Mus musculus: one gene and its partners. The protein of the gene in region 1 interacts with the protein of each later gene in a biochemical or structural test. Links are inferred from orthologs where the notes say so. Each region holds a gene or a part of one and is shown in the gene's direction. Other genes may lie near its edges.

Evidence for each region.
Region 2: the proteins of Lgals3bp (region 1) and Lgals3 form a complex in vitro, tested with the Homo sapiens proteins (4 studies listed by BioGRID). The link is inferred for Mus musculus from reciprocal best matches to the Homo sapiens genes LGALS3BP and LGALS3.
Region 3: the proteins of Lgals3bp (region 1) and Lgals1 form a complex in vitro, tested with the Homo sapiens proteins (2 studies listed by BioGRID). The link is inferred for Mus musculus from reciprocal best matches to the Homo sapiens genes LGALS3BP and LGALS1.

Annotation. Positions count from the first base shown.
Region 1 is NC_000077.6:118,396,658-118,407,274, reverse strand, and holds the start of Lgals3bp (galectin-3-binding protein precursor), read left to right. Parts: upstream 1-5,315; 5' UTR 5,316-5,489; intron 5,490-7,473; 5' UTR 7,474-7,495; coding exon 7,496-7,547; intron 7,548-8,703; coding exon 8,704-8,895; intron 8,896-9,022; coding exon 9,023-9,154; intron 9,155-10,431; coding exon 10,432-10,617.
Region 2 is NC_000080.6:47,372,950-47,383,053, forward strand, and holds the start of Lgals3 (galectin-3), read left to right. Parts: upstream 1-910; 5' UTR 911-1,003; exon of another isoform or gene 1,004-1,030; intron 1,031-6,573; 5' UTR 6,574-6,577; coding exon 6,578-6,595; intron 6,596-7,103; coding exon 7,104-7,469; intron 7,470-8,646; coding exon 8,647-8,735; intron 8,736-10,104. UniProt on the Homo sapiens protein: Galactose-specific lectin which binds IgE. May mediate with the alpha-3, beta-1 integrin the stimulation by CSPG4 of endothelial cells migration.
Region 3 is NC_000081.6:78,921,326-78,932,229, forward strand, and holds Lgals1 (galectin-1), read left to right. Parts: upstream 1-5,399; 5' UTR 5,400-5,470; coding exon 5,471-5,479; exon of another isoform or gene 5,480-5,622; intron 5,623-5,718; exon of another isoform or gene 5,719-6,644; coding exon 6,645-6,724; intron 6,725-8,307; coding exon 8,308-8,479; intron 8,480-8,672; coding exon 8,673-8,819; 3' UTR 8,820-9,140; downstream 9,141-10,904. UniProt on the Homo sapiens protein: Lectin that binds beta-galactoside and a wide array of complex carbohydrates. Plays a role in regulating apoptosis, cell proliferation and cell differentiation. Inhibits CD45 protein phosphatase activity and therefore the dephosphorylation of Lyn kinase.

The DNA of each region.
Region 1 (10,617 bases):
ACTGGGGGGGGGGGGGGGGGGCCCTCTTTCTCCCATGTGACTCTGGCATTCCATATGCTGCAGACCCCTGGAAAGTGAATGTTTACATGGCAGGGTGAGGGCCACCCCTTGGGAGGCACCTGCCCACACTCTGGAGCCTCTCTAGCACAGGATTGCTTGCGAGCTGTTGATAACTTCATTTCTCCCCTCAGGAGGATTTTTGTGCTGTACAGCCTTTTAAAGTCCAAATTATTAACTTATTTTTACTAGAGCAGTTTCTTTTCCTGAATAACAGAGTCACCAGACTTCATCACACAGTGACAGTGGAGTTCCCACATGCACTTCCAGGAGCGAGGGACTTGTCCCCACACCCACAGTGGCGACGTGAGCTTTTACAGAAAGAGTCTCAGCATCCCTGGCCTCTGCAACTTCCAAGGGCTGCCATGCTTTCACCCCTCAGCAGTGGTTGAGGGAGGGGCTGCACCTGACTGGAGACCTGCCCTCATTGGCTCCTGGTGGGTGTTTAGCAGCCTTCTCTCTAGGGAGGCCTCACTGTTTTCTGCTGTCCTGTTCTGTCCATGTTCAAAAGAGCCAAGGCAGCAGAGTCAGGCTCAGAGGTCATTCTGCAGGCAGCAGCACCTCACCTGCCTCCGGCACCCTTAGAACAGGACACCGGTACTGCTGTAGGCACAGGGCCCTGATGACCGTCACAAACCCCTTCCACAGGAAGCCACTGCCACTGGGGCCTGACTACCCTCAGTACAGCAGGCTGCTGCTGACTTGTGGTGCTGAGGTCTTCGTGTACTGTTGTGCTGGGAGCTCAGCCAAACCTCCTTGATGTGTGTCAACTGTGTTCGGTTGTGTGATTCTGAGCTGAAAGATGAAATGAGAGAGGTTGAGAGAGACCTGGGCCCCTCGCTGAGGAGCCTTCCACATACCTTCCTTTCCCTGAGCAATGATTGTGTCTTTCCATTGTTTTATAAACAATAAAGTGTCAGGGGAATGTGGTTCTCTTGTCTATGTTGGCTGTTGCCAAGGGCTCTGCCCCAGGAAGTCTAAAGAGGTGGGATGCAAGCCTTGGGGTCATGAAATGGCCCCTCACCTCTCCAAATGAGGCCCAGGAAGTGAAGCCCCGTCTAGGCTTCCCAGGCTTGGGTCTGATGGGAAGAGCTGTACGGAGAGACTGGCTCCAGCCCTTCAGGCTCTGTCCTACTCCATTTTCCCACTCTGGCAATTACTAGAGTCAGGACAGAGCCCGAAGTGCTGGATCCTGAACTACAGCAGACACAATAGGCCAGGCTTGGAATCCCAACCTCCACAGGCCACGACAAGGAATAGTGATGAGTAGAGAAAGATTTGTGGCCACATCAGGCAGTGGGACAAGGAAAAGGTCCAGACTGGGCTAACAAGGAGGCTCAGTGTGAACAGTGCCTGCCACACAAGCCTGACAGACAGAGTGATCCTCAGAACCCATGGTGAAGGAGGGAACTGATGACCCAGAAGCTGGTCTCTTAACCTTCACATGATCCCTGTGGCATCTGTGCTCTTAACACGTGCATGCGTGCACACGCATACATACATACATACATACATACATACATACATACATATACCACATGCACGCACATACACACACACACACACACACACACGCGCGTGTGTGTGTGTGTACACATAGAGGTACAGTGACTCCCACGCCCACCTTTGGGGTCTGCCCATCACTGACCCAGCACTGTGCCTGGTCCTGACTCCTGGGTTGGGCAGGTAGCCTGACAAGTCAGACCATGTGGAATCCTTCCAGGAGACGAATGTCTCCTCTGGCTGGCACAAGCTCCCTTCTCAGGTGTGAGAATCCCTGGGAAAATTCCAGTTTGAGACCTTAGTTGTCTGTAGGCAAGGGGAGGAATGCAGGCGTCTCTCTCTGTCTTCCCTGTCCTCCATTTTCTATGTAGAAGATAGGTCATCCCAAAGCCGCTGTTCAGGGTTGCAGTGGGGGATGTCTTCTGTGGCCAGAGAAATGGAGACTGGGCCTGGTTTCCAAGGCTGGGCATAGGAAGCCACAGGTGCAGAGCAGAAGAGATGAGGTGACGGGAGGGGAGCCCCATGCCTTCCAGGGTTAGACACTTACTCGTTCATTTAGGTTTTTTGAGACAAGGTTTCCCTGTGTAGCCCTGGCTGTCTTAGGACTCACTCTGTAGACCAGGCTGGCCTCAAAACCACAGAGATCTGTGTGCTTTTGGTTCCCAAGTACTGTGATTAAAGGCGTGGCTACCACCAAGCTGGACACTTCTTTCCAATGCTGCTATTCTACTGGGGTCTTTGCAGTTAACAACTGCCTTGGCACTGAGGGTCTGTGACTTGCTGAGCACACAGTGGTAGGATGGGACTTGGCGTCTGCTATAGGTCACTGTGGCCCTGACATCTTCAGGACATTACCCTGAAGAGGTCTTGTGACCCTCAGACCCCTGTGGTTAAAGATAAGCGCAGTTTGGGGGGGGGGACCAGGATGGCCAGGCTGTCATGCATGTCCTGTGTGACTGAAGTGGAAGCAGGGTCACCCGCCTTCATCCCCTCAGAAGTCTCAGATGTGTCACATGCATCACCGAGCAGCTCGAGGGATCTGAATGTTCCCTGGGCCTGACCTCTTGGGAAGTCCCCCTGTGTCACAATGTCTGGGCCCATTAACCACCCATCTGTTGGCTTTGGAGTAGACATAGAACAGTGGTTCTCAGTTTCTAATCCTTTGAGGTTACAGATCAGATACTTTTGCATTGTACTTCATAACAGTAGCAGAATTATAGCTAAAAAGTAGCAATGAAATAATTTTATGGTCCAGAGTCACCACCACATGAAGAATTGTATTAAAGGGTCTCAGCATTAAGAATGATAAGAACCATAGACAATGGGCCTGCTGTGTACTACACACCCTGTGATAGCCCTGTCTCTGTGACCTGGCTTCCTGTCCTCCAGTGGAAGCCAGATCCCAGGCCCTGGTTGACAAAGGGGCTGACCCAGGATGGAGGCACCAGAGACTTGCTGTTTCCTGGAGCCACCGGCCAGTCCAGGTACTGACTCTTCTCCCAGCTCTTGTCTCCAGGGGACACCTCCATCCCCCCTTTCACATTCTCAGCCAACGGTGACAGAAGCCACAGTTCAACAAGCTTGGGCATGTCTGCAGAGTCAGTCCTAGCCCTGCCTGTAGCTCTCAGCAAGGGTTTCCTAGGACTGCATGACCCCTTAGCCAATGGAAACTTCATGTCCAAGGGAAGCAGTCCTTGAGTGTCCAACCCTGAGCTCTGGGGCTCCAAGCTTTTTGCTGATCCCAAAGGAACTGTACCCCAGAACTCCCTTGGGCTTTCAAATACCAGTGCCCCTCCTCCCACAGGCTGATGTGGGCATTGGTGTCTTCACAGGTAATTCTCATGGCCAGCCCAGGTTGAGCTGCACTGACTGAGGACTCCCCAAGTAGAAACCAAGACCTGGGTTTCTTGTGGAGAAAGGGGAATAGGTATAAGCCAGGCAGAGCCTGGTCTGAATCCTAGAGAGTCGGTCACTGTGGCCGTTGGGAGATTGCATTACCAAGTCAGGCGTGTATGGGAGCCAGTGTATCTGCTTACCAGCTATTGCCTGGGTTTGGTCTCCAGGGCCTTGGAGCCTTCCTCTCTGTTGTCATACCTAGGACAAAGAACTCAAGGCACAGGATAAAAGGATTTGCCAGACCAGAACTGGTGTAAAAAAAAAAAAAAAAAGTAGACACCAAGGACAGAAACCCAGCCGGTGAATTCCTGAACCATACACCTGAAAAGGAACAGGGTGATTTTATACCAATTCTGAGTCACCTGGCTTTGCCTCCTGGGCCATTTGTGTCAGACCTTTTGAATAGTGTTCAAGAGGACAGTTGGGTGTCTTGAGGTAGGAAACCTTACAGTGCTGGTGCCAGGGGAGCTGCAGGGAGCTGCTGGGAATTAGGCCACTGTCTAAACATCATAAGTCTGGGGAAATTTGCCTTTGTAATTTTAGTGTATCTTACATGTTTGGAACTTTTGTCTGCATGCATGTATGTGTACCACGTGTGTGCCTGGTGACCATGGAAATCAGGAGAGGGCATTATATCCTTTAGAAATGGCATTATGGGTGACTGTGAACAGCCATGTGGGTGTTTCAAATGGAACCTGGGTCCTTTGCAAGAGCAGCACGTGTTCATAACTACTGAGCCATCTCCCTAGGCCTCTTTGAATTATATATATATATTTTTACATTTATTTACTGTGTGTGTCTACATGCATGTACATACATGCCACGGTACACTTGTGTAGATCAAGACAGCGTACAGGAGTCAGTTTTCTCTTACAGTGAGTCCCAGGGGTCAAATTCATAGCATCAGGATTGGTTACTGCAAGTCCCTTTACCCGCTGAAGCAGTTTTGGTGGTGGTAGTTTTGTTGTTGTTGTTGTTGTTTTAGGATTTTGTTTCGGTTTTGTTTCTGTTTTTGTTTTTTTCCTTTGAGGCAGGCTTTCTCTGTGTAGCCCTGACTAACCTAGGACTCACTATGTAAACCAGACTAGTTTCTAACTCACAAAGATCCACCTGCCTCTGCCTTCCAGCTAAAGGTGTGTTCCACCATGCCCAATTAGCCCTACTTTAAAAAAAAAGGTATTGTAGAAACCTTTTAAGATTTAATTTTTAAAATTATATGTGTGCATGCATGAGCACACTTGGGTGTGGGTGCCTACAGAGTCTGAGCCCCTGAAGCCAGTTACAGGCTATTCTGAGCCAACCAACATGGGTGCTGGGAGTTGAACTCAGGCCTCCCATAAGAGCAGGTGGTGCTCTTAACCACCAAGCCACTCTAGCCCCCAGCCCTGCTTTCTGCTTTTAGCCTTTATATCGCTATTCTTGTCTCTCAGGACCACTCTGTGGCCCACATACCTTCGCTCTGCGCATGGTAGGTTTGTGCATAAGCTAAGGGCAGCCAGCATTCCCAGGTCCAGGAAAGGATAGTCCAGCCCACATCCACATTCACAGACACGGTCTGACCCGAGCTGCTGCTCCTAGGCCCTCTTTCTGTATCTTTCCACTCTCCTTCGCCAGGATGCCTGCCTGGCCAGCCTGGAGATGTATTTGCTCCAACCATCCCCCAAGCTGCCCCACAGGGTGCCTGCCTGGCTAGCCTGGACTTATATTTGTTTCATCAGCTCAGTATATCAGCTCAGCACAGGGCGCTTGGGTGCCTGCCCTCTGCCCCACAGAGCAGCAAGCAGAAGGCTATTAGCCTTGCTGACAGCCAACCCCAGAAGCAGCCTCTGTCATGTGTTTTCTGAAAATCGAAACTAGGTGAGGTTTACAAAGCATTTCCTGGGACGAGGCTGAGGAAAGCCACATGGTGGAGCTTTTCTCTGCTGAACAGTCTACAGAAGGCTTCCAGTTGCAGCCAGGAAGGAGGCTCCAGGACTGCCTTCAGCCACTGCCTCGCTGCCTGAGGGACAGTTGAGTCCCTCTCTTGCTCCCAGGTGAGTCTCCACTCTACACAGCATGATTTCTGGCAGGCCAGAGCACAGGAGCCAATACAGTTGGGCAGGATGTCCACTGAATGAACAGCTGAAGGGGTGAGTGGGTTAGAGTTTATCCCCGGCCCCCTCCTGGGTCTGTAGATTCTCTCCCAGGACTAAACCTACCTACTCAGTGGTACTGAATGAGCCAGCATAGGCAGGCTTGTCCCATCTTCCCACACAAAGGAGTAGGGCAGAAACAGCCTCTGTCATCCAGTGGACAGCAACATCCACATACACTGCAATGTTCCCAAGGCCTAGAGCGCCTGACCCAGCATGGACAAACCTACGACCACAGTTTATAGTAAATGCAGGGAGTGGGCACCCAGTGCAGTTTGCCTGGGACTCAGGTTTCCCAGAGCCCAGGCCTTCTTGGGATAAAACTGGGGTAATGCCTTGCCACACGGATGTGGGACTCTCTGGCTCCCTCCACCTCCACCAGGGTCCTTGTGGTAGAAGGAGGCCACCCCTGGGCAGACCCTAACCTGTGCTCACTGGCTGTGTCATCTGGAGTCAGTTGGCTCTCTAGCTTCGGCTCTCATTAGGGATGTGGGAACTTTGTGAGTTGTATATTGTTCTGGGTCTGTGCTTGACTAGATGCAGAAGTCTGGTGGGAACCAGTTGGGGGGTGGGGGTGGGGTGCACAGAACTAAGGGCCAAGTCCCACCCATCAGTGTGTTATAGGACTCAACGGTCAGAGCTTATGCCCAGAAAGCTCCCCTGATAGCCAGACTCAGCCACCCATCCTCCATGGTCCAATTAAAAACATAACAGTGAAAAGCCGAAAAAGGAGATTTATTTAATGTGGCCACACTAAGAGGAATCCAGTGGCCTCCCCCATTAATGGCCCAGAGTCTATTAGGGGATATTAACATGAGGTTTACATAGAGGTATACATAGCTAACTGGCTTGCCTGGGCTGTAAATCCCAGAGTGAGCTGTTATTTCCTGGAGACAGGCTTCCTCTCTGGCTATCACCAGGCAACAGCCTTCTCCTTTCAGCGTGAGACTCCCGGGGAGTTCCAGTTCTGCTGTTGCTTCCGCAGTCGGATAGCCAAAGCCTATCCTAGGATCTCTTCACCCCTGCCAAGATGGCTACAAGTGCCCTGGCCCCCTGAGGGCTTGCTCGTGCTGCTCTGGTGCAGAATGTCTGGGGTGGGGGTTGGTCGGTGGGAGAGGGCTGGGGAGGGGCCAATCCTGGTGCTTCTACTGGACCTGAAATATCTCTACTGCTTGTCTCTGGGCCCCTGGTCGGAGTAACAATTTGTGGCTTCCAGTTCCTGCCCAGGAGACAGAGCTCTGTAGCACCATCCACTACCAGTCCCAAGCTGCCTGCTGGGCCTAGAACGAGTCCAGAGTCCATTGAGGCTGCTGCATTTTGTTCTGTGGGTTGCCCCGCTCCTTGCAGGGCCTGAGGGACAATGCCTGGGTGGGGCACATCCTACATACAGGCAAGAGTCTAAGTATTGAGTCCTGTGTGTCAGCACCGTGGTGGTTGACCCTGACCCACATCCCCAGGTCACATCATGAAGTCCCAGACCCTTCTACACTGCCTCTGTCACTTCCCCTTGAGAGTTCCAACCTCATCTACAATGTCCTCACAGACTGGCAAATCTTGTCCCCTGCACACCCCAAAGGCAGCTAGCTACTACTTACAGATAAGGCCAGCTAAAGATAAAGAGCTCTTGTTTGCTTCCTGGGTTCTCGTTGCCAGGAGCCCTCAAGCCACTTGCCTCATCTGGGGACTCTTGCTGACCTGAAGGTTGTCCTGCAGAGCATGTGAGAGAGGCCTGCATGAGAGCCATCACATAGCCATCTGGGCCTTACACAAGAGTACCACCCACAACACCATCCCATCCTCTACAAATAGGACAGGGAGCCATGGAACTGCCAGTCTCCTTTGGAGAGCTGTTGCCAGTCTAACTTTGTTGTTCTTTCTGCTGCAGGGTTGGGCTTCTAGGCCAGGCAATGGCTCTCCTGTGGCTCCTCTCTGTGTTCTTGCTGGTTCCAGGGACTCAAGGTGAGTCCTGCCCCACGAAAGGTCCCAAACGCCTTGTTCTGTGGGTTGTCCCCCTCTGCCTTGCAGAAAAGCTGCATGGCAACCTGCAAGGAGCCATGTCTCAGGATTCTCTCCCATGTGGCTCCTCTGTCATTCTAAATGGTGGTGGCGTATGGCCCCTGGTGCTCCCCCGCACCCAAGTGAAATGCAGGTATTGAAGAAGAGGCCAAGAAATTTTTTCTCATCTCATCAGTGGGCCAAGGAGGGAGAGCACAGCCCGTGCTGTCCTGGAGTGTGTGTGGGGGGGTGTCTCAGGGCACAGGTTAGGGTGGCAGAGAGTCCCTGGGGGGGGGGGGCAGTTCACACACTGCACTGTGGGTCTGAGAGCCTTGTCCATCCTGGACCGTCAGCTGAGTATCCCTCTCTAGTATGGGTGACCCCAATTCAAGCGCCCAGCTGGCCCTGTGAGCATGGGCAGAGACGGGAGTTCCAGAGAAAGGAGAGCAGGACTGTCCTGGCTGCCTGTGCCACAGTGCAGACTGTCTCCAGTCCAGGATTGTCCGCTTTAGGCAACCACTGTAGGGGTGAGGTGGGAACTGTATGTGCGAGTTGGGACCAGCGCTGTGTACCCCACTCCTCTTACAATGGGACCCCACACCACAGCTCCCTCGGCCCCACACTTTGGAGGGAACAAGGAACATTGCAATGTCCCGTTGCTAAGTGGGGACAGTCCAGAGACTCCAAGGATGAGACAGTTGGCATTGAGTTGTCAGGACATCACCCATCATAAGCCGAGGTGAATCTGCTTTCTGCCTGTGTCTAGGAACCCAGGACCCACCTTCCCCCTCAGGCCAGTGTTCCAGAGAGCCAGCAAGGAACCTCTTCGAGTTCACTCTGTAGGCTGAGAGCCAGGGTGCCCTCTTGGAGCAAAAGACCCAGAGCTGAGAGATAGAAAGACCATGGATGGCCTCTGTGAGGTCATCAGAGCTTTCACCCCTTCTTAGTGGGCACACACACACACACACACACACACACACACACGGCACACGGGGAGGGCGTTTTGAAGTGGTTCAAGAGCAACTCCAGAATGTTAGTGAGCACAGAGCATTGAATTCATGGGGAGTGAACATCAAACCAGGCTAGCCCTCTTCCCAGCTGACCTCCCCTCTCCCGACAGGTACAGAAGATGGAGACATGCGCTTGGTTAACGGGGCCTCAGCCAATGAGGGCCGCGTGGAGATCTTCTACAGAGGCCGGTGGGGGACAGTGTGTGACAACCTCTGGAACCTTTTGGATGCCCACGTCGTCTGCCGGGCCCTGGGCTATGAGAACGCCACCCAAGCACTGGGCAGAGCTGCCTTCGGGCCAGGTGTGGCTGAGGTCCCTGAGTAATGTTCTTTAAGCATCCCATCCTGAGCTGGTGATCAGCCCCGGTCCCCGCTGAAGGTCCGGTTCCTCCTCCAGTGTGGCCCCTGGCTTTCCTTTTGTGCCCACAGGAAAGGGACCGATCATGCTGGATGAGGTGGAATGTACAGGGACCGAGTCCTCACTGGCCAGTTGCAGATCCCTGGGTTGGATGGTGAGCCGCTGTGGGCACGAGAAGGACGCAGGCGTGGTCTGCTCCAACGGTGAGCTGCCCTGCCCTCCCAGCACCTAGGGGAAGTGGCAGCCGTGCCCCTGCCTATACCAACACCCCTGTGTAAATAGTCAAAAGTGGCACCCTGGATGTGGCTGGGAGCCCACATCCTCCAAGAGAGCCCCCGTGTTACACACGTCAGAGAAGCTCCTCGATCAGGGCAGTGGGTTATGGGTAAGGGACTGTATCCCATGTACAAACAGCACTGTGTGCTGGAGGGGTGGCTCTCTAAGGACCGGTGTCTTATGGTTATTATGCTCAGGCATATTGCATAGCACCGCCCCCCCACAGGCTGTGCGTGATGACGTAGTGATTCTCGCTGGCTATGTTCAAGGACACTGGTGCCCGAAGCCCTAACCTGCCAAACCCCGACTCTGCCACAACTCTTCATCTCCAGTGCCTGAGGCCCGTGGGAGCTTTCCTTCCTGGCTGCCATCTGTGACTTCCTCCTGGGAGGTGGGGGTGGTCCTGGGACATGCCCTTCTGTCCTGAGTTGGAGAACTGAGGCCTGAGGGTGTCGAATCCCACAATGTCAGACAGGCTTGGGTATAAGTTGATCTGAGTTGGAGGGTCTCAGACCGGAGGAGCCTCGTGAGTATGACCAAGCTGTGCAGGCATCTGGGAGGCCCCACTGGCTGGGGAACAGTGTGAAACGAGACCCAAGGGGAAGCTAGGAGGGACTGGGGCTGTGGTGTGAGAAGACACAGGAGCCAGTCCACCCACTCCAAATGTAAAAATCAAGCCAAACCTTTACAGAGCAATGCATGGTGTGGTATGTGGTTTTGGATTAGGCTTTGGGAGGCAGGGAAAGATGGGGATGCACCGAGACATGCCATACCCCTTCAGGACTTGTCCCCTTGGGACTGGGAACCCTCAAGTTTTAATGTAAAGTTGCAATGGGACCCTAACTTGAAAGGCTGTTCATTGGGCATAGGAGGGTGGCCTCTGCAGTTACTGGAGGTTTGTGAAGAGTAGGCACAGCCTTAGGGTTGGTGTCTCCTCTAGAGGAAGTGCCTGAGTGTGGGGTACAGAGAGCCAGCTGCTGTCTTGTGGGGTTCAGAAGGCAGCTGCAGCCTCCCTTCAGGCCTCTCCCATTCTGCATCTTTCCACAAGGCCTCTGGGCAGAGCCAGGTACCAGGATGTCTGGTTCAGATGAGGATCCTGACTCCTGGTGGGGGTGTGTGGGGGTATCAAATGGGACTCAAACTCACAGAGAAAATGATCCACAAAGCCCATGCCTCACACAGCAACCGCCTCTGTCCATCCCAGATACCACGGGGCTTCACATCCTGGACCTCTCTGGAGAGCTCTCAGATGCACTGGGCCAGATCTTTGACAGCCAGCAGGGCTGCGACCTATTCATCCAGGTGACAGGGCAGGGGTATGAGGACCTGAGCCTCTGTGCCCACACGCTGATCCTGCGCACCAACCCCGAGGCCCAGGCCCTGTGGCAAG
Region 2 (10,104 bases), on another chromosome or scaffold:
ATTGGGGGCAGACTAAGGGAGATCCCTGGTCAACAGAAACCACCTATAAGCTTCTGTTTGTGCAGCCAGAGTCCCTCTGTTTAGGACCAGCACTGGCATTCTGGGGGGCTGCTTTGGACCTAATAGGATTAAAATAATGCCAACTCCATAAATGTATGTAAAGCCCTAGGCATAGAGTGGGGTGCATAAGTGTTTGGTAGATATTAGCTGATGTATCTGAAGCTGGGGAAAAATTATCTTGAATATCCTTAACCACATCACTCAAGTTTTTAATCTATATAAATGGTTCCAAACTGGTTATCAGCCTCTTGCAAAAGCGGCTGTTCCTTGTAACTATTTTCATATAGACAGAGCTACACCCTGTCCTCTTGATTTAACTGCCCCTTGCCCGTGCTGTAACTCTCCTCCAATCTTTGAGAAAACATCTTCCTAGGAATCAATTCACACATTCATACTACTTCATTCATTAATTCATTCGTCCACATTCATTCATTCACTCATCAATCAATCAACCAACAAATACCTACCGAGAACCTACTATGTACCACATTGGGTTTACCCAGCCCAGCAAAATCCAGAGCAGGAGTGAATGCAAACAGGGGCACCTCTTACATCTCAGATTTGTCAGGGACACCTGCTCCTCCCTTCCCTCACACTCAAAGTCACTGCCATTTCTGCGGAAGGCTTCAGGTGAAGGAATTAGGGGCAGGATGAGACCCTGACAGGCAGCTTCAGACAAGGGAATTGGGTGAGTCTGAGAGTCTGGGTGCGGTCGGCTAGGGCCCACTGCGGGGCACAGGTGAGGGGCACAGGCTGGCGGGCGTGTCCCAGTCCACTGTGGGGAAGCTCCGTGGTCCGTGGGGCGCGGTCCAGCCAGGCGCCTGCAGGGCGAGGGATGCTGCCCCGCCCTGGGAGGGCGGGCCCGGGGAAAAGAGTACTAGAAGCGGCCGAGCCACCGCCCAGCTCTGACAGCTAGCGGAGCGGCGGGTGGAGCACTAATCAGGTGAGCGGCACAGAGAGCACTACCCAGGTGAGCGGCGCGGGGCGCGGGGACCGGTGCTGCTCAGTGCACCAAGAAAGGGCTGGGCTCCCGGGAGATGGACGGAGGTGACCTTCAGGGTCCCAGGCGCTGGTCTACCGCCTTGGCTCTCCTGCGGGTAACTCTCGGAGAAAGTTATTCACGACCTACATACTAAGTCTCTTTGGGATGGCGGGATGCCAGCGGGCCCTGGGCACTCCTTCGAAGCCCTGCGTTAGAGTGAGCCACAACCTACGGAGATCCACCTTGTAGCTGGCCCCTAGCTTGGCCATAGGGATCAGGTGCCTCTTCTGGCACGTTGGGGGTGGGGGTGGGAGTTTGGAGACTCAAAAGACATCGCCCAGGATTCCTGACTCCTGGAGGAATTCCAGCAGGCTCCTTTGGTGCACGTGGAAGCCTTCCACTAGAGATCTTGCTGTGTGGTGCCAGTGAGTTCCACCAGGTTCAGCGGAGGTAGGGGCTATAGCCACCCGCTGCGTGCTTGACCGCACAGGACAGTGCTGCCCAAGCCCTAGTGCGCATGTGTCGGGATGAAGAACTACTGTAACCTCTAACATTTTTTTGTAAGCCAAGTGACTCATTCGTGACCAGTGTGGTTATTTGTGCAATAACCTCTAGATCTGGGTGGAGGAAGTCTTGGGTGTGGCCGTGTTGGTCTCAGAGTGCAGACCCTTAGCGAGAGGCTTTCAAAGGTTGCATTTATGCTGAATTATGTTACTCAAGCACTATTGCAGGGAATCGAGGATGGGACGGGAATGGGTGGGGAGGGGGAGTTGAGACTGAGGCTTAGGATTCCGGCTAACCCTAGCAGGGAAGCAAGTGATTCCTATTTGAAGAAATTGGAATATTTATAAAGCGACCCCCGGGGAGTAGGGTTTCTGGATAATGAGAACATTTGGACTTAGTGACCCGGCTAATTCTGAGGAAAAGAACAGAAACCAGTGTGTAAAAACTATCACTTTCTGAAATTCCAAGATGTTTGCTTCAAGTTTATAGTTCCGTATTTTTATTTATTTACCTTTGGGGGCAGGGGAAGTATCTTAGTTAGGGTTTTATTGCTGTGAACAGACACCATGACCAAGGCAGCTCTTATAAAGGTCAACATTTAATTGTGGTGGGGGTGGCTCACAGGTTCAGAGCTTCAGTCAATAATCCTCAAGGCAAGAGCATAGCAGCGTCCAGGCAGGCATGGTGCAGGAGGAGCTGAGAGTTCTACATCTTCATCTGAAGGCTGCTAGTGGAAGACTGGCTTCCAGGCAGCTAGGATGAGGGTCTTAAAGCCCACACCCACAGTGACACACCTACTCCAACAGGGCCACACCTTCAGTTAGTGCCACTCCCTGGCCGAGCATATACAAACCATCCCAGGGAGACAGGCTGCCACTGCAGCCTAGGCAGGACTGGAACTTACTATGTAGCCCAGGCTGGCTTTCAATATTCAATCCTGTCTCAGTCTCCCAAGTGCAGGGGCTAACAGTGTAAACTACCACCCCCAACTGTTTCCATAAAACTTGAAGTTTAATAACAAAAGCCTTGCTTGTCTGCAACAACAGTCTTTGGTGGTGGTGGGGGGGGGAGGCAGTGCCCATCTGAAAGAATGCTAGTTTTTTTGTTCAGACAGGGCTGGTTTAGAACTTGTGATTTTCCAGGCCAGTACAACCACACCTAGTAATTGTCTCCTTCTTGGTCACTGATCATTTTTGCTTTGTTTTGCTTGTTTCTTGAGATAGGGTCTTACAATATAACCTTGGTTGGCCTCATACTCAGTACAGAGTTCAGGCTGGCCTTGAACCTATGCTACTCTTTCTCCCATGGTTTCCCGAGGACTGGGATTACAGATGTGGACCAGCCATCTTTACCCTAGCCTTTTCCCCTGAGATAGTCATAGTTATCTGTGATGGAGACTAGCCTCCTAAATTCAGAATGTTTAGGAGTTTGGTTTAAAATCTGCACTTACTCCATCTTCTGGGGAGGACATGGATGAGGTCTTTCAGGCTTAAGCTAAGAAGTATTTAATGGATGGCTCACTAAATTGTACACAAAGCAGAAGAGGTAGAGAATTGCTTGAGGGTTGACTGGAAAAATTGATCATTTTTCCGTAGAATGAGTCTATTCAAGGGTTCTCAATCAATGAGATAGTTCACTGGATCAAAAGCATTTGTTCATCATTTTTCGAGATGGGGTCTCACAGGCAGCCCTGGCTGGAACTCCATACATCAGGCAGGCCTGGGTCTATGACACCCTCCTGCCTCTGCATCCTGAATATGCTCAGATGCTTTCCAAAGAACTGTTCCTTAGGTGGGTGTGGGCGTAAGTGCCTGTCATTCCAACATTCAGGAGGCAGAACCCAGAGTACCTCAGGTACAAGGCCAGCATAGGCTACATTTAGAATTCTAAGCCAAACTGGGCCAAAGAATAAGACCTGTCTTAAAATATATAAGCGAACTTCTTACTTCCTGCCAGTGAGCTCAAGTGTCCTAGGTGAGTCTTATTTATGATTCAGATGCCTATTTGCCTAGCTCTCTCAATAGCCAAAGACTAAATCTTCACTGCAATAGACACATAAACATTCACAGTACACACACCTCAATTAAAAAAAAATCTATGTTTAATAAGTAAATACAATAAAAAAACAACAGCTAAAAACAATGAATACTTTTTTTTGGAAAACCACAATTTATTGGTTAAAATGTGGTTTTTCTTAACAATGTGACTGTGCACAAAAGCATTCTGTACTCAGCAGCCTGTGTGTTGAATGATTCACCGAGTTAGTGTTCTGGCCAAAGCTCTATTTTATTTTTAAATCTGTTTACTATTTCAGCATGCTATGTAGTTCTGGATGAACAAGCCAGAGAATTTTTCAGGGAAGTAACTAAAAATTTCAAAGGAGTCTATTTTAAAACATCAAAAACGTACACTTTTAAACTAGTATAGGACAAACCTGAATTAGGAGTCAGGAAACTTTGGAACCTTGTCCCCAAGATGCCAGTGAGATGGCTTCTGGCCACCGAATCAGCTCTCAGATCCCTCACTTCACAGTGGGATGTTTTCTCCAGCCAGTGTCACCAGATTGCTAACAAAATCAAAAACAGCTCCGTGGAAGTTCTTTGGGAACTGGAAATCACTCTACAAGTGCTAGGAGGGTGTCACTATCGCGACATCCTGTGGAATGTGTCACATAGCTGTCCAAAGTGTCATCCAAGGCCCACGTGCGTCACAGTGAAGTCTGCTGCCTCTAGGGTTTCATTGGGTCACATTGGAAAATGGGCCAGTCTTTTAAAACTGTAGCATACTTAGGAGGGAAAGGGATGTCTTTAGGGAGCAGCGTTCGTTGGTTAGTTTTTGGAGACAGTCTTGCTATGTAGCATAGGTTAATGGTAAACTCAATCCTCCTGCCTCAGCCTTTTGAGTGCTAGGATTAGAGGTGTGCAGCACCACTCCCAGCAACAGATTGCTCTTGTTTTTGAAAGAGTCTGCCCGTGCAGCTCAGACAGGCTCCACATTTCTGCTCCTCTTGCCTCAGTCTCCCTAGACCTGAGGTGGCAGGCGGTGAGCATCCTTCCTTGTAAACTTTGCTACTTTGAAGGACTGAAACTCTTTGTTGGTTTTGTGGCCCCTTGTATGTGCATTTATCTAGGGATAGATATTAACAGCCTGGATTGGTAGTTTTCAACTATATGTGGTTTTGGCCTTAGCAATTTGCCCATGTTTGAAAACATTTGGGGTTGTCGTAAGTTATAGGGTAGTGTGCCACTGGCATCTAATGGCTTGAAGCCAGAGATATTGCTGAAGGGGTGCGAAAAGGTTTCTCAGAAGTGCTAAGTTCTCTGCCCACTCTGAACCTCAAACCTATTTCTTAACAGGATCTCACTACATATCGCTGGCTGGTCTGGAACCTGCTCTATAGATCAGAGCTGGCCTCAAACTAACAGAGATCTGCCTGCCTCTGCCTTCTGAGTGCTGGGTGCCATTTTGCCCAGCCTAGGTTTGATCTTCTTAAGGAAATTCTGAAGCCAGGAACTGTGGCTCTTGCCTTTGATCCCGGCCACTGGGAGGCTGAGGAAGGGGGGCTGCTGTAAGTGCTCAAGGCTAGATTGAGACCCCGGAGCTTTGGTGTGGTTCAGGCTGACCTCAACCTCATGGGAGTTCTCACGCTACAGCATGCTGAGCTCACAGGCACGCCACACTACGCTCACCTAATCATGTTAGTTCTTGGGGAAATTGAGTAAAACATCACCGGTGGGCAGACGAAGTCAGAAGAGTCTGATTACTTCCAGATCCAGGTAATTCTCACAGTAGCAAAATGATGTAGTCATTCTGAGCTCTGATCCAACCCCCACCTCGACCGGCCATCCCCCACTCCCCCCCCCCCCCCCCCGTCCAAAGCTACCCTCCCATGGCTGCTTGAATTACCTAGTGCTAGACCGTTTGCCAAATATGCCGATGCTGTTAATTTAATCCCCAGAAACCTAAGAAAGAAAAGTTTCCAAACCAAAGCTGCTCTCTGCTGCACTCTGAGGGATCTGTTGAAAAGTGGGGCAGTTCCAAGCATCTTGTGGTTTTGTAGGTGTGGCACAGGAGCAAACGCCGGAGGGAAACAGGGTATGTCTGCAAACCAGTCCTGAGACAGCTTTGTGTAAGGCAAACCTGTTTGGCAGTATCCTGAATGCAGTTGCTTCTGTTCACATTGCCGCCCAACTCACCTTTGTTTGGCTGATTTACTGCTGTTGTATTTGGAACATCGAGTATCTCAAAAAACAAACAAACAAAAAAAAAAAACCCAAAAAACAAAAAAAAAACGCAGGCACCACAGCCAACACTTGAGATGCTGAGGCAGGAGGATCATAAGTTCAAGGTCAGGATGCGCTTCCCAGCTCACCAGCAAGCTCTCAGATTTGAACGTCCCAGTAGAGTCAGGCAGCACTGACCATACTCTTTGTGCTCATACATCTCATGTCCCTTGCTGGTCTGTGGGCCCTGTGATTGTGTGGAAAGTGATAGCTCAGAGCAGGCAACAGGTGTGCCAGTGGAGGCTAAATAACCAGGCAGCAGCCATGTCAGCTGTCTTTGAGATCTCAGTAGGAACCAACAGATAGCTTTCCTCTCATGTCCCAGAAGCGCTGTGGCTGGGAAGAGGGCTATACTTCCCATGAATCCTTGCAAGGGTAGAGAAACTCAGGGAAGCAGGTAGCCAAGAGAAGCTGTACCTTGTACCATCTTTCACCGAGAGAAGAGACAGGACATTCTCAACCTACTCCTTGGCCCTCTAGGTCTTTTGCTCTCTGGCTTCAGAACACAAGCTCCTGACATCAAGGTCTGACTTCACAACCTAAGTGGGTTTGGAATTTAGCTATAATGTATCTGCGCCTGTCCACAAGATGTTTTTACAGTCCAGCATCATTGACTTAGGCAAAATGATTGTACACTGACTGGAATTGCCCATGAACTATTTGGGATGTTTCATCTCATGAAGCTTGTAAATTGTTTTAGGCTCGAATACCAATAACCAACCCCCTTTGGCTTTTCTCTCTTAGGAAAATGGCAGACAGCTTTTCGGTAAGTATTTCATGTCTGTTTCCTTAGCCCCATACATACTCGCATGAGTTAGAAGGTTTCATTTCTACCACCGAACTTTCCCTTTGACCCTCCTCCTGACCCTTGGCCTGTTAGTGGTAGCTTTGCTTTTCTAGCAGCAGATTCCAGGGAGAGGTATGGCCTCTGTAACAGGGATGTCCCTCCTGGAAGCAGCAGGACCAATGGCATGGTCTGCTCATGCCAACACCTGCAGCTATTTCTCATGTCGGTTAGAAAGCATGTGTTTATAACCAGCCAGTTCCTGGTGTAAGCTAGAAGAGCTTAACCCACCCTGATATGCCATGATGAGAGGCCAGAACAAGACATGATACAAGACAGCAGAGGATCAAACTCAAAACAGCACAATAGGCGAGGGAAGAGTGTGAATCTTCTCCCATGTCCCAGCTTCTTAGATCACAAATGCCTGTAGTCCCCTAAGTTCTGTGTAGTGAAGGAGTCCCATCCTCTAATTGTTTGTCTTTCTTTATAGCTTAACGATGCCTTAGCTGGCTCTGGAAACCCAAACCCTCAAGGATATCCGGGTGCATGGGGGAACCAGCCTGGGGCAGGGGGCTACCCAGGGGCTGCTTATCCTGGGGCCTACCCAGGACAAGCTCCTCCAGGGGCCTACCCAGGACAGGCTCCTCCAGGGGCCTACCCAGGACAGGCTCCTCCTAGTGCCTACCCCGGCCCAACTGCCCCTGGAGCTTATCCTGGCCCAACTGCCCCTGGAGCTTATCCTGGCTCAACTGCCCCTGGAGCCTTCCCAGGGCAACCTGGGGCACCTGGGGCCTACCCCAGTGCTCCTGGAGGCTATCCTGCTGCTGGCCCTTATGGTGTCCCCGCTGGACCACTGGTAAGAAGGAAGTTGTTTCAATGGGCTTGCTGTACAAGTGGAGGGGACATTGGTGGGGGGTGGGGGGGAGGGATTTAAGCCTGCTGCTTAGAGCCATGTCTTAAGGGCCAACCACAGGGGTGTAATTAGTCAAGTGGGAAAAGGAATGTGTTCATATTGAGTTTACTCTGTGACTTGTTATGATAAGACATTGATAAAGGTGCTTTAATATAAATCAAGTTAAGATTGTAGTAATAATGAGTGGTGCACACCTTTAGGAAACAGAGGCAGAAGTGTCTTTATAAATATGAGGCCAATCTGGTCTACATAGAGATCCTATTTAAAAAAACAATTACACTATGAGGCAAAGCTGTATTATTAATAAACACTAACTGAGTTCGGTGGCTTATTCTTATAACCCCAGTAAATACTGAGAGCTTTCAAAGCTGCAAAGCTTTAGCTCAAACCAGGGATGCAGAAAAGGAAAATGATGGGGTAGGGGAGACTCCTCCATCTCATACCCATGCAAGGAGCCTTCCAGTTTACCCACCCACTGGGAGCAACTCCAGGAAGTATATATAAGGTCAAATGCAGATCAGAGCAAGAGATGGGAGTTTGGGAGACAGCAGAACCTAGGAGGAAACTTCATAAAGGAGAGACCAGAGGCAGGGACAGCGCTCTGGGGATGTCTACCACACCTTAAGCACTTTGCTCAACACTTGTGGAATGAACTGTAGAAGTGCTCATTCAACACAGACTTGTGTGCTAAGCATTTTGTTGGTGACCTGCAAGCACAGAAGCCCCAGGTGACACAAACCTTTCCTTAGATAGCTGAATTACAGTGCTGTATGTCATGTGTCAAAGGACCCAGGGACCCCGTGCATAAAAAGATTGTTGGTCAACCATCTAGCTTAAAATGTTAAAAAAAATGAGTCCGTATGAATGAATTATGGGTTGAAATGGGCCCAACTGATGGTCCAAGAACATTTGGTTGTTAATTTGTTAATTTCTCAATTAACTTTTGTGTACATAGGGAGCACTCTCTACCTTCCACTTCTTTAGGCCCTGGACAAGGTGGTCTCAGAATCTACACAGGGTTCTGTGTTGGTCACTGCATTGTACCAATGTTTGCAATGTACTTTACATTCCCCAAGAGAGCATAGTGCCTTACTGACCCTGGAATGCTTGTGTGTCCCAGACGGTGCCCTATGACCTGCCCTTGCCTGGAGGAGTCATGCCCCGCATGCTGATCACAATCATGGGCACAGTGAAACCCAACGCAAACAGGTACAAGGGTGACCCCAACAACCCATCTGTTGAATGGTTTTGAAATAAAGACTATCTTAATTAAGAAAATTTTATAAGTTACACAGTTGAATCCAAGCTGGGCTATCACATGGACTATCTCATAATCAGTACTTGATCGTATGTCATTTTTTGTTGGGATGTTACAGAGTGAATGGTAACATCCTCTACTCTGTGTTTTGGTGTATGTCATATGCTTTCATTGTCATGAGTGCAGGGTGAGGGCTGTTTGTGGTGGTTTGAATACACTTGGCCCAGGGAGTAGCACTATTAGGAGGTATAGCCTTGTTGGAATAGTGTGTCACTGTGGGCATAGGCGTTGATACCCTAGTCCTAGCTGCCTGGATGTCAGTATTCTGATAGCAGCCTTCAGATGAAGATGTAAAACTCTCAGCTCCTCCTGCACCATGCCTGTCTGGATGCTGCCATGTTCTCACCTGGATGATAATGGGCTGATCCGCTGAACCTGTAACCCAGCCCCAACCAAATGTTGTCCTTTATATGAGTTGCCTCAGTTATGGTGTCTCTTCACAGCAATGGAGACCCTAACTAAGATCACACCATTACTTCCTCTTTAGACAAATAAAACTGAGGCTCAGGTCTTATATTTACAGAATGGCAAGCTAGGAAGCCCAGCCTTCTGGGTAGTTGTTATTTACTTAAAGGGTTTGAGAAGATGGCAAACCTTTTTTTAAAATTTTTTGTGGGTTTTTCGAGACAAGGTTTCTCTGTGTAGCCCTGGCTGTCCTGGAACTCACTCTGTAGACCAGGCTGGCCTCGAACTCAGAAATCCACCTGCCTCTGCCTCCTAAGTGCTGGGATTAAAGGCATGCACCACCACACCCGGCTTGAGAAGATGGCAACTCTTATTAAGGAAAACATTTAATTGTGGCTTCCTTATAGTTTCAGAGGTTTAGTCCATTATCATCATGGTGGGAAATATGGCAGAGGGCCAGCAGACATAGTGTTGGAGGAGCCAAGAGTTCTACTTCTGGATCTGTATGCTATGTTACTGGATGTAGCTTGAGCATAGGAAATTTCAAAGCCTGTCCCCACATTGACATACTTCCTGCAACAAGGCCACACCTCCCAATAGTGTCACTCACTTTCTATGGGCCCATTCAAACACATGACTCTATGGAGGCCAAACCTATTCAAACCACCACATAGCTGTAAAGATTTCATCCAATCAACCTCTGCCCTGGAACAGGTTTAGCTGAGGTAGACCAGGTTACAGTGAGGTAATGTGGGATATCCATGCCAATATATAGTCACCTTGGGATGTCTGGATGGAATGATTGCTTCCAGTCATACTTACATATAATATGAAGAAGCTGAATGTCCCCAGCAA
Region 3 (10,904 bases), on another chromosome or scaffold:
AAACGACCAAAGTTTATAAGCATTTGCTTGCATGTATATATTTGCATGATGTGCATGCCTGATGCCCATGGAAGTGAGAAAAACAGTACTGGACCTCCCTGGAACTGGAGTTACAGGAGGTTGTGAGCCACCCCGAGTGGGTGCTGGGGAGGAGACAGGCCTTCCTTTAGCATGTCTGTGCTGATGTTTTAACTAAAGAAGGAAAGCCAGCCCTGAGAGTGGGGGGTGGCATCCCACAGGCTGGGGACCCAGGCTGGAACAGTGAAGACAGAATATGGGCTGGGGCTGGCATTCATCTTCGTCTCTGCTTGCTTGCTGGTGCCAAGCACAGTGTGACCACCTCTCCCACATTTCTGCCACCATGTCTTCCTCACCGCGACGGACTGTTTCCCTTCGAACCGTGAGCCGAAATACTCCCTTCCTTCCTGTGGTTACTTACCAAGCAGTCACAGCAATTGGAAGCAATTGGAATCAGTAGAGAAAATTGCTGTCAGAAGAGGGGCCGCTGTTGTGAGGAGCCTGTGCGTGAAGTTCATAGGCCTCCTGAGCTGGTTTCTAGGAGTAACAATGGGAGAGCCCAGAGCTGCTGGCTAGAGAGGCTCGGATACTATAAGCAGAGCATCATGGGCCATTCCGCTGAGAGTTTGGGAGGCCAAGATGCAGAGAAGGGTGAGCGGTGAGTACCGTGCTTATGAGGTTTTCAGAGGACTCTGTGGACTCCATCAGGACCTTGTGTCATACTCTAGCCAAGGACCTAGCTGCATTCTGCCAGATATCCAGAAAAGCTGATTGAGGCTGAATTCAAAAGCAATGGACTGAGCTGTTTAGAATTTTCAAGACAGCACAACAGCCAAGCCGGGGAGGTCAAAGCTGCCCTTCTACACTTCATAAAAGGCTCTCCTCAGCCCCAGCTCCCTGAGAGAGCACAGCCAAGTACCCTCCCTCTCTGGTTTCCACATCCTTAAAGTGCATCAGAAGATATGGGGGAGCAGGCCATGGCATCTCTGGGGTCCCTCCCTGCTCTGACTTCAAGAACTCTGTGTTGGAGCCAGCTTGGTGGGTGCTGTGCATGGTACCCATGAGCTCCGTGGCTCCCTCCCAGGGCTGGCCGCAAGCAGTACAGACTGTCAGGGAGGGGTAGGAGTTGGAGGGTCAGGAAGGACCTTGCTGGCTGGGACCTGTATGGAAAAGCTAAGGCCAGATCCAAGGGCTGGGCTTCTGAACAGAATTCCAGAGGACTCCAATGGCTACTGTGGGAGCCTGAGGGAGAATCATCAGGGGCCCCACCTTTGGCCTTAGGAAACAAGGAAGGAAAAAGGCATACCTCAATACCTGCAATCCTCAACTCACCCTGAAATGATCGGCATACTGCTACCTTCTAGAATGTGGACATTATTCAGAATAACCAACGCCCAGGACTACACCCTGCCCCCCCCAAATCCATGCTCGTCTCTGTTCCCCATCCTGCCTCTGTTTGGGATCTGACCACAGCGGCTATTCACCAGGTGGGCAGAGACTGATATGCTCAAATGAGATAGGCTTTGAAAGCAAGGCGCCGGGCACTGGGCCTGACAGATAAGTGGGTGCCACCACCAGGAGGCCCTGAGCACTTTGTGGGTGTGGGGCAAGGAAGGGACCTTATTTCTGACAACCCTGCCTTAAAAACCATAGTGCCGGTTACAGGGGCTATTGGCATCTGGCAAATCCATACCACAGCTCGGGTGGGAGAGGACCAGAAGAGGGTCTGCCAAACACCAGGGAAGGTAACCTTGGAAGAGGCGACAAGGAGACTGTAAATCTTGAGCTCAGCTAGGTATGGTGAACTCATACCTGTTATCCCAGGCAGGACTGCTTCGAACTCCAAACCAGCCCGGGCTACAGAGCAGGACTGTCTCAAGGCAAAGGTCACCTATGAAGAGCCACAGACCTGAGTCCCACCTTACGTGACCCTCAGGAAGGAAAGAGGGACTTCACACGTACAGTTGCAAATGGAGAAAATGAATAAACAGGTAAACAGGGTTGGAAGCATAAACCAGAATCTCCAGGCCATGGTCAGGAGACTAGTCCTTATACCATGCTCTTCCATGGCCGGCCTGCTCAGACAGCACCTACAGAGAAGTGCACACACACACACTTCCTGGTGTAGGTCTTCTATTCCAGTCATGACCTGGCAGGAACAGCTCCCAGAGCCCTGAGCTCCCAGCCCGTGGATTTGCCTGGCAATTGACTGCCTCATCTCTGGTCTTCTACCTGGAACTCTGCCTGATGTCTTTGTCCTGTTCCTGATGTGGGAGAGGGGCACACACAGTTGGAATAGTAGAGGAACTAACCGGCCAGGGCCCCAACAGTCCCGCCCTGTAACTGAAGTCTGGGGAGGCCTCAGAGGAAAGATTGAAGCTGCTGCGGTTGGGTTCTCTGGTGGTGACTTGAGGGCGGGGCTGGAGATGATGGGGCAGGCCAACCTCACTCCAGATGTGATAGCATCTCCCCTGTGCCCTGCGGGTTTCCCTCTCCTCACATCCTGGGTGGGCTTTCCACATCTGGAGGGAGGAGCTAGAGATGAGCCTGGGAGGAAGAGGCTGGGTAGGGCAAGAGGATTGCTGGCCTGGCCTCCAGATGTGACTCAATGACCCCTTATCGTCACAACTCTTCCAAGATGGTAGCTTCGGAAGGGGAACGGCTACACGGACCCCCTGTTGCCCCGACACCTGATTCCCAGCGTGAGCCAAATACCCCTCTAACTAACCAGAGGTTTTAGGGCAGGAGAGGGGGCTCTGGCAGCCAACCAATGGAGCTGGGCCTCTACACCAATTAAAGAGATAACTAGTTGGTAGAATGCTCACTTAGCACGAGTGAAGGTCTGGTTTAATCCCCAACAAGTCAGTTGTCACAGGCCTGAAATCCCAGAACTTGAGAGGCAGGAGCAGGGGGGTCAGAGGTTTAAGGTCAGCCTTAGCCCAGCAAGCTTGAGGCCGGGCTGTACTGCGTAAGACTCCTGCCTAAAAAGAGGCTAAGGGGACATCAGGTTAACAAACACAAAAGGATTTATTCAATGTGGCCACACTGGGAAAGGGAACAGATCAAGAGTCTCAGTAACCCCAAGTTTGTTTTGGGGTACTAATGTGAGTTGGCTTTTGGAGAGGCCGTTGTTGCTGTTTTAGCTGCTAATTTTTGTTTGGTTATTTGGTTGGTTTGGTTTGGTTTGGTTTGGTTTGGTTTGGTTTGGTTTGGTTTTTAAGACAGGGTTTCTCTCTGTACTCCTGACTATCCAGGAACTTCAATCTGTAAGCCAGACTGTCTTTGAACTCACAGAGAGCTGCCTCTGTCTACATCCTGAATGCTGGGGTCAGAGGTGTGTACCACCACTGCCTGGATAGCTGCTAATTTGTTTTTTTGTTTTTGTGTTTTTGTTTTTGTTTTCCGAGACAGGGTTTCTCTGTGTAGCCCTGGCTGTCCCGGAACTCACTCTGTAGACCAGGCTGGCCTCGAACTCAGAAATCCACCTGCCTCTGCCTCCCAAGTGCTGGGATTAAAGGCATGCACCGCCACTGCCCGTTTTTTGTTTTTTGTTGTTGTTTTGTTTTTTGTTTTGTTTTTTGTTTTTGTTTTTTTTTTGTTTTTTGTTTTTTAGCCAGGGTCTCATGTAGCAGATGAGAATTCCTAATCCTCCTGCCTCATTTTCCCAAGTGCTGGTGTTACAGGCATGAGCCACCATGTAGTTTAAGTTTAAATATTGAAAGAATCAGCACAGATAACAAGAGGTATGCATACCTGGGCTGACTGACTGGCTCTGTACGATGGCTTAAAGAAGTCATATTGCTTAAGGGGATGTGTAAGTTCTAGGGAGAGGGTCACTCCTTCTCCCGGGTGTGCAGTTACCTCAGGAACACTCCGGTGGGGGAGGGGTTGTCCTGCAAGGCTTGGCTCGGCATTTTTGAGACAGTGACTAGTCTTCGTGCCTTTGGCTTAGAAGGGTGATGGTCAGGTCAGGAAGGCGGAGGGAAGCGAGAGCCTGAGCCAAAGGAAGGAGACAGAGATACAAAGACAAAGGCAGAGAGGGCAGACTCACCCTTTCAGTAACCTTCCAGGGCACGGGAGGAATCCAGGCTTTTTGGCAAGAGCAGCTTTGAAGTGCCTGTATTATCACACACCCTCCGCTCTGCTCAGTGAACCTCCCTAAGTCTCTCATGTCACCCCATGACCCTCTGTAGCTCCCCAAGACCCTCAGGTAAAAGACACTGAAACCCTTTACCTGGCCCACAAGACCCTTCATGATCTTTAACGCCCAGCTTTCTCCTACATGGTAAGCAGCTCGTTCCCCAGGCACGGGCTTCTCATCTCCAAGCCTTTGCCCAGTTGGAATGCTGGGTCCTTTCAAATCCCTGCTTCATATGTCAGTCTCTACCCCACCATGGTGAGTGTTTGCCCTGCTCAGTGCCAGTGCGGTGTTATTTCTTAATTCAACGCATAGTCACATTCTATCCAAACCGTGAATTCTGAGAGCAGGGCCTGGGAGGGGCTCATCTTCATGCCCTCTGAGGCCAGCACGGAGCTAGACACACAGTAGGGGCTCAGGAAAATAACTGCTAAATGAATGGGAAGGGATGGCCAAGTCTCTTCTCTAAAAGTGGGAATGAGACCAAGGGGGCACATCTGGCACACCCTGGACTGCCCCGAGGCTTGCCTCTCAGGCCCCGGGGATGTCACAGCCAAGGCACTCAGAACTCTCTGCAGGCCCTGCAGTGGGGTGAAGTCCAAGGTATGAGCCAAGGACACCAGCCTCAGGCCTGGCGCCCAGCCCAGGCTTTCTTTAGCCCTAGTGAGCTGCACTGAGCCGTAGCCACAGTCCTCTGCTTCCGGGGAAAGCCCTGGTGGGGCCTGTGCTTTGTGGTCCTCCTCAGTCCTCCCGCAGAAGCCCACAGTGGGAGTCACAGCGAGAGCCACACCCTGGCCTGCCAGGCGGCAGCCTCTTCAGAGAGCCTTGCTCTAATTCTCTGCAGGCATCTATACACACATCCCCCTCCCCCACCAGCTGCGCTGGGACCTAGGGGCTTTCTCCCTGCTGGCCCCAGGCCCTATCCCGCCAACTCTTAGGTTTAACTCATCCTTAAACTATTTTCCATTGGCTCCCCCAATCTCTGCCACAGCACAAATCTTTTTTTAGTGGAAAGAGGGATGGAGAAGAATAAGAGGCGGCGCCAGGACCCTGAGGGAGGGGCTAGGAGGGGGGGTCTCCTCTCTGACTGGTCACCTCTGCTCCAAAATTGACTTTATAATCCATAGACTCCACTTCTGGTGGCCCCCATCCTTGTCCTGACATGCAATTGGCTGAACTCCCGGGGAGGGGCGGGACTCACCGGGTCTGATCCAGTTAAAAAGGTCGGAGCGGGCCTGGGGCCCGTCTCTCGGGTGGAGTCTTCTGACTGCTGGTGGAGCAGGTCTCAGGAATCTCTTCGCTTCAGCTTCAATCATGGCCTGTGTGAGTGCGGGACCCTCTGTTCCAAGGTCTAGGGGACTGAGCAGAAGCAGATGGGCACAGGAGAGTAGACAATTGGGGACTTGCTTCTGGTCCCAGCTGTGCTGCCTTGGACAGGTGTTTTCTCTGGTCCTCAGTGGCTACATCTGTAAAATGGGGGTGGCTGTCACTGTTCCCCCCTGAAACCTTAAGCGTCTCTGGCTTAAGAATGTTCTGGACTTCTCGTAGTTCTGGCCGCATACCTGCCTTGCAAAGTCCAGTATTCTGCTGCTTTGCCGTTTTCTGAGAAGTGGGAGTGGGAAGGGTGTGGCCACCCGGGGAAAAGGGAGGCAGGGGGACATTTTGGCCAAGGCCATTCCCTGTTCACTCTTCCTCTCCACTCTAGAGTCTCCTGACCCCTCCCCCGCTGCAGCTGTCCCCAGTCACAGGGCCAGGGCTCAGTTGGTCACCCTCTGCTCCAGAAAACTAAAAAAAAAAAAAAAAAAACCCTCCCGGGCCTAAGATAGGCTCCAGGCTGGTCAGTGGAGGCGGGTCAGGGCTGGGCGGAGGAAACTGCATGCATTTGCACAGACAGGCAAGCCCTCAGGTATAGGGTTCAAATGTCAAAGAAACCCCTTGCCCAAATGAACTCCTGTCAACTCACCCAGGTAGGTGCACAGCAGTGCCCTGATATGTACTGGGCTCTCTAGCGTGCTAAGTCCACATTGCCACTCTCGGGCTGCCCAGTCCCACCGCCCCTCAGCCTCTCCGCTCCCTCCCGATGGTGTGCATCTAAGCAGAGAGCCTTGAAGCCGATTGGGGAGGCAAAGGCTGTTTTCTCTATCTCAGAGAAGCAAGGCCTTAGGCTAGTGGTCGCCTAATCCTTCCATCAGCAAAATGAGGATTTAGGAAGTCACACTCCATCTCCCCTCCACTCTAAGTCCAGGTCTCCAAGCTGATGTCTTTTAGGGCTTGTTCTGTAGGACAGTCACAAGTTTGACACCCTGCTGGGAATGAAGTCGTTCCCCATCAACTTACACCCTATCCTGACCAGCCCATCCCACCTCGGGCTTCCCCTAGGGCTGGTCAGGGTACTCCAGGGTGGGAATGACCCCATCCCTACACCCCAGCCCAATGCAGGTAGGTCTAACTCCAACCTAAACACAGCTCGGTGCTCTTGTCTACACAGGGTCTGGTCGCCAGCAACCTGAATCTCAAACCTGGGGAATGTCTCAAAGTTCGGGGAGAGGTGGCCTCGGACGCCAAGAGGTGAGACTGGAGAAAAGAATGGAGCGGGCAGGGGGCCAGGTTCGCAGATTTAGGTTGCGATGGGCGTGGCCGGCCGGAACCGCTCATTCCCCAGCCCGCAGCTGGTTAACGGGCAGCTGCAGATGCTGCGTTTTCTGGGTGAGTCACTTCCTCGCTGGGTCTAGTCGACGTCGCCGTGGTCTCCCCCTCCCTCCCGCCTCCTTTCTCCCGGCTGAAGTTTCTTAAACTAAAGCAGCTGCTGCTTCAACGACTCCGGCTTGCCCCTCCCCTTCCGCGGGGGGGGGGGCGGGGGTGGCGCGAGGGAGCGGGGGAGAGGCGTTGAGGGAGTGGTCACCCACGTGCCTGCTGCCTGAGGGTGCCCTGCAGGGGCTCAATCTTTTTTCCAGAGCTTCCTCCTCATTCATACCGCCCCACCGCCCCCCCCCCCCCGCCCCCAGCAGCCATGTGAGTTTGGACCAGTCACCCAAGCTCACGAGGCCTCGACTTTTTTTTTTCTTTTCTTTTCTTCTCCGAAGACAGGGTCTCCTTATATAGCCCTGGCTAGCATGGAATCTGTGTTGACCAGGCTGGCCTCCACGAAGACCCACATGTCTCGTCTCCCCAGAGCTGGGATAGAAAGTGTGTACTTCCATATTCCACACCCCTAAGAGCCTGGGGTTCCTAATAAAGCCAGAGGGAAAGTGGTGGAGGGGAGAGAGCCAGGGCCAGTTCCATCAAGCAGGCAGCTGCTGCTGTCTGTTGTCTGTTGTTAGTAAGTTCCTGAGCCCTTTCGCCTCTTCCTACCATACCTCCACGGTGAACACCGCTACCAGGCTCCGTGCAACAAACTCCGTATTCTTTTTGTTAGTTTGTTTGTTTTTTTGGTTTTTCAAGACAGGGTTTCTCTGTATAGTCCTGGCTGTCCTGGAACTCACTTTGTAGACCAGGCTGGCCTCGAACTCAGAAATCCACCTGCCTCTGCCTCCCAAGTGCTGGGATTAAAGGCGTGCACCACCACAGCCAGCCAAACTCCATTTTTTTTTTTTTTTTTTTTTGGTTTTTCAAGACAGGGTTTCTCTGTATAGCCCTGGCTGTCCTGGAACTCACTTTGTAGACCAGGCTGGCCTCGAACTCAGAAATCCGCCTGCCTTTGCCTCCCGAGTGCTGGGATTAAAGGCTCAAACTCCGTATTCTTATTTACGCTTCTTCTCCACAGTGAGGGAAAATCTATGGTGTGCCCTGCGCTGTACTCGGCACCAGGGACTCAGATACACAAGACAGATAGGACACCATCTGGAGAATCTCCCCTCTTGACCAAAGGGGTTGACAACTATCAATGTCTGGGAGAGAGCTCCCCTAGTGCGCACACACACACCACCACCACCACCACCACCACCACCACTGTACAGTCAGAGAGAATCTGCAGGGTCTAGCTCAGTTCACATGGTGAGACCAGAAGTAGAATCGAAGTTCCTGGCCTTCCTGTTGCTTGAGTTTCAACATGGCATGTCCATAGCCAGCTGCTGATGTTGCATTTTCTCAGTGAGCTGGGGTCTAGCACCATCCAACATGGCTGAAAGCCCACCTGTCCCCCCCCCCCCTAGCTTTGTGCTGAACCTGGGAAAAGACAGCAACAACCTGTGCCTACACTTCAATCCTCGCTTCAATGCCCATGGAGACGCCAACACCATTGTGTGTAACACCAAGGAAGATGGGACCTGGGGAACCGAACACCGGGAACCTGCCTTCCCCTTCCAGCCCGGGAGCATCACAGAGGTGGGTGGCGCTGGGCAGGGCCCTGGGTGTGCTGGGCAATATGGTCAGAGCCAGAGGCTGACCATTCCCTGCTGTGTGATTACCCTTGAATGGCATCACTCTCTCAACATAATAGACCTCACCTATACAGAACCTGTCCCCGGGGCTCTGAGCTGGTCCAAGGCCCAGCTCACTGCCCTTCTCCATCCACCAGGTGTGCATCACCTTTGACCAGGCTGACCTGACCATCAAGCTGCCAGACGGACATGAATTCAAGTTCCCCAACCGCCTCAACATGGAGGCCATCAACTACATGGCGGCGGATGGAGACTTCAAGATTAAGTGCGTGGCCTTTGAGTGAAGCCAGCCAGCCTGTAGCCCTCAATAAAGGCAGCTGCCTCTGCTCCCCATAATCCAGCCCTTTCATGGGAGAGTGTTTGTGTGTGTCTATGTGAGGGGCCCCGCCCAACCTGGTCCATCTTCACTTCCATTCATGCCTCCATGTGTTCTTGGTCTCAGTGACCTCTCTTGTGCTTTCCAGGCCAAAGAGAGCCCAGCACAGAGAGGGCTTAAGTGACCACAGAGGGTGAGCCAGTGTCCCACTGTGACAGGGACAGAGCAGTGGGAGGTGGATGGATGAACAGCCGGACCGCATTTGTCTTAATAAAAGCCAGAAACCACTGAGCATGATGACACATACTTGAAATTAAGGAGGCTAGACCAGGCACATCGGCATGTGTTCCAGAGCAGTCTGGATAGCCTGGGCGACATAGTGGAGACAGCTTGGGCTAGCTTTATAGTCCTATACCACTAACTTCTTAGGAGACTGAAGCAAGAGGACCACTTAGGACTAGCTCGGCAATATAGTATGACCTCATATAGGTAAGGACTAAAAACTGTTGTATAGCCTTGTGCTTGTTAGCTGGTCTCTCTGAGCCTTAGTTTATCGTTTTATGCATGAGGGATAATATTCAGTTCTCATGAGGGTTGTTGTGGAGTTAAATGAGATTTTGGTGGAGGACTCCAAGTTCTGCTGTGGGTACGTCATGACCAATGCCATTTGGGTAGCTTCTGGTCTTCCTTACACTACTAACTTTTTATGCCTGCAAATGCAAAATGCGTAGGGAGGAAACAGTCTCTGAGGGACAAAATGATCCCTTAGCAGTTGAGCCCAGAGGAAGCAGGCTTACCCTCCTGGAATCAGTGGGCAGCTAGAGGACTAGGCTAGAAGGCGCTAACTCTGTGGCACTCAACAGGTCCCCTCCCTAACAATGGGAATCTGGCATGAGGTCACACTCCTGTAATGTGATTGGGGATTCTGAGTGGGCCCTTTCAGAGACATAAGATGAGGAGTGGGGTGGGAAGGCTGATGGGAGGGCCCAGACGCAGGTCTTCCAGAGGGCAGGTGGCTCACTGGGCTGGCAGAGATGGACGTGCCTGCCTACCACTGCGTGCTTATTCCTGGCTTCCAGGAGGAGGTGTCTTCCAGATCTCAGCTCAGGATCTGCTGCCTTGGGATGGGATGCTGTTCTCAGCTGAAGCCTGTCCCACCCAGCGCAAGCAACTCATGGGCCACCATTGTTCATCTGTACCAGTGTCCCCACTTTACATAAAACAGCTGCAGGAACTGAGCCAAGGTTCTGGAAGGCTTCAGCTATAAGCCTCACTAGGCTCTCCCTCCAACTCTCAAATCTGGGGCATAATATCTTGAGGCTGGGAGGCAGGTGCCTGCAAGATCTCATTTTCTAGGATAGACTGGCACCCTCCTGGTAGGGTCTCTTGCACCCCCGGCCCCCAGCCTCAGTTTTCCCATCCATAGCAGGGTGAAGACTTCATGTTGGTGAGTCCAGGAAGCAGGGGTACCCGTAGGAGAAGGCCAAAGAGAATGGAATACACAAGCCTTGGCCTCCCATGGAAACACACCCCATCACTGCACTTTTCTGAGTCACCCAAGGGTGGCTATGGAGGAGACGCCCTCTGCTGGCCTCAAAGGAAATGTCCCTCAGACTGTCTTCCTGTGTTACCCTACGGGAGCTAAGCACTTGATCTTGAACAAGAAAGGGATGACCTCACAGAGAGGTTGTAAGGCTCACCACAGGGTGGGGCTGGGAGATGCTCAGTGGTAGGAGCATTGACTGCCCTTCCAGAGGACCAGAGTTCAATTCCCAGCACCCACATGGCAGCTTACAGCCATCTTCAATTGTCTCTAACTCCAGTTTCAGATGATGAAACGCTTTCTTCGGACCTGAGGCAAAACACCTATATACATAAAATGAATTACAAATAATAATAGTTAAAAAAAAAAAGCCGGGCAGTGGTGGCATGCGCCTTTAATCCCAGCACTTTGGAGGCAGAGGCAGATGGATTTCTGAGTTCGAGGGTAGCCTGGTCTACAGAGTGAGTTCCAGGACAGCCAGAGCTATACAGAGAAACCCTGTCTCGAAAA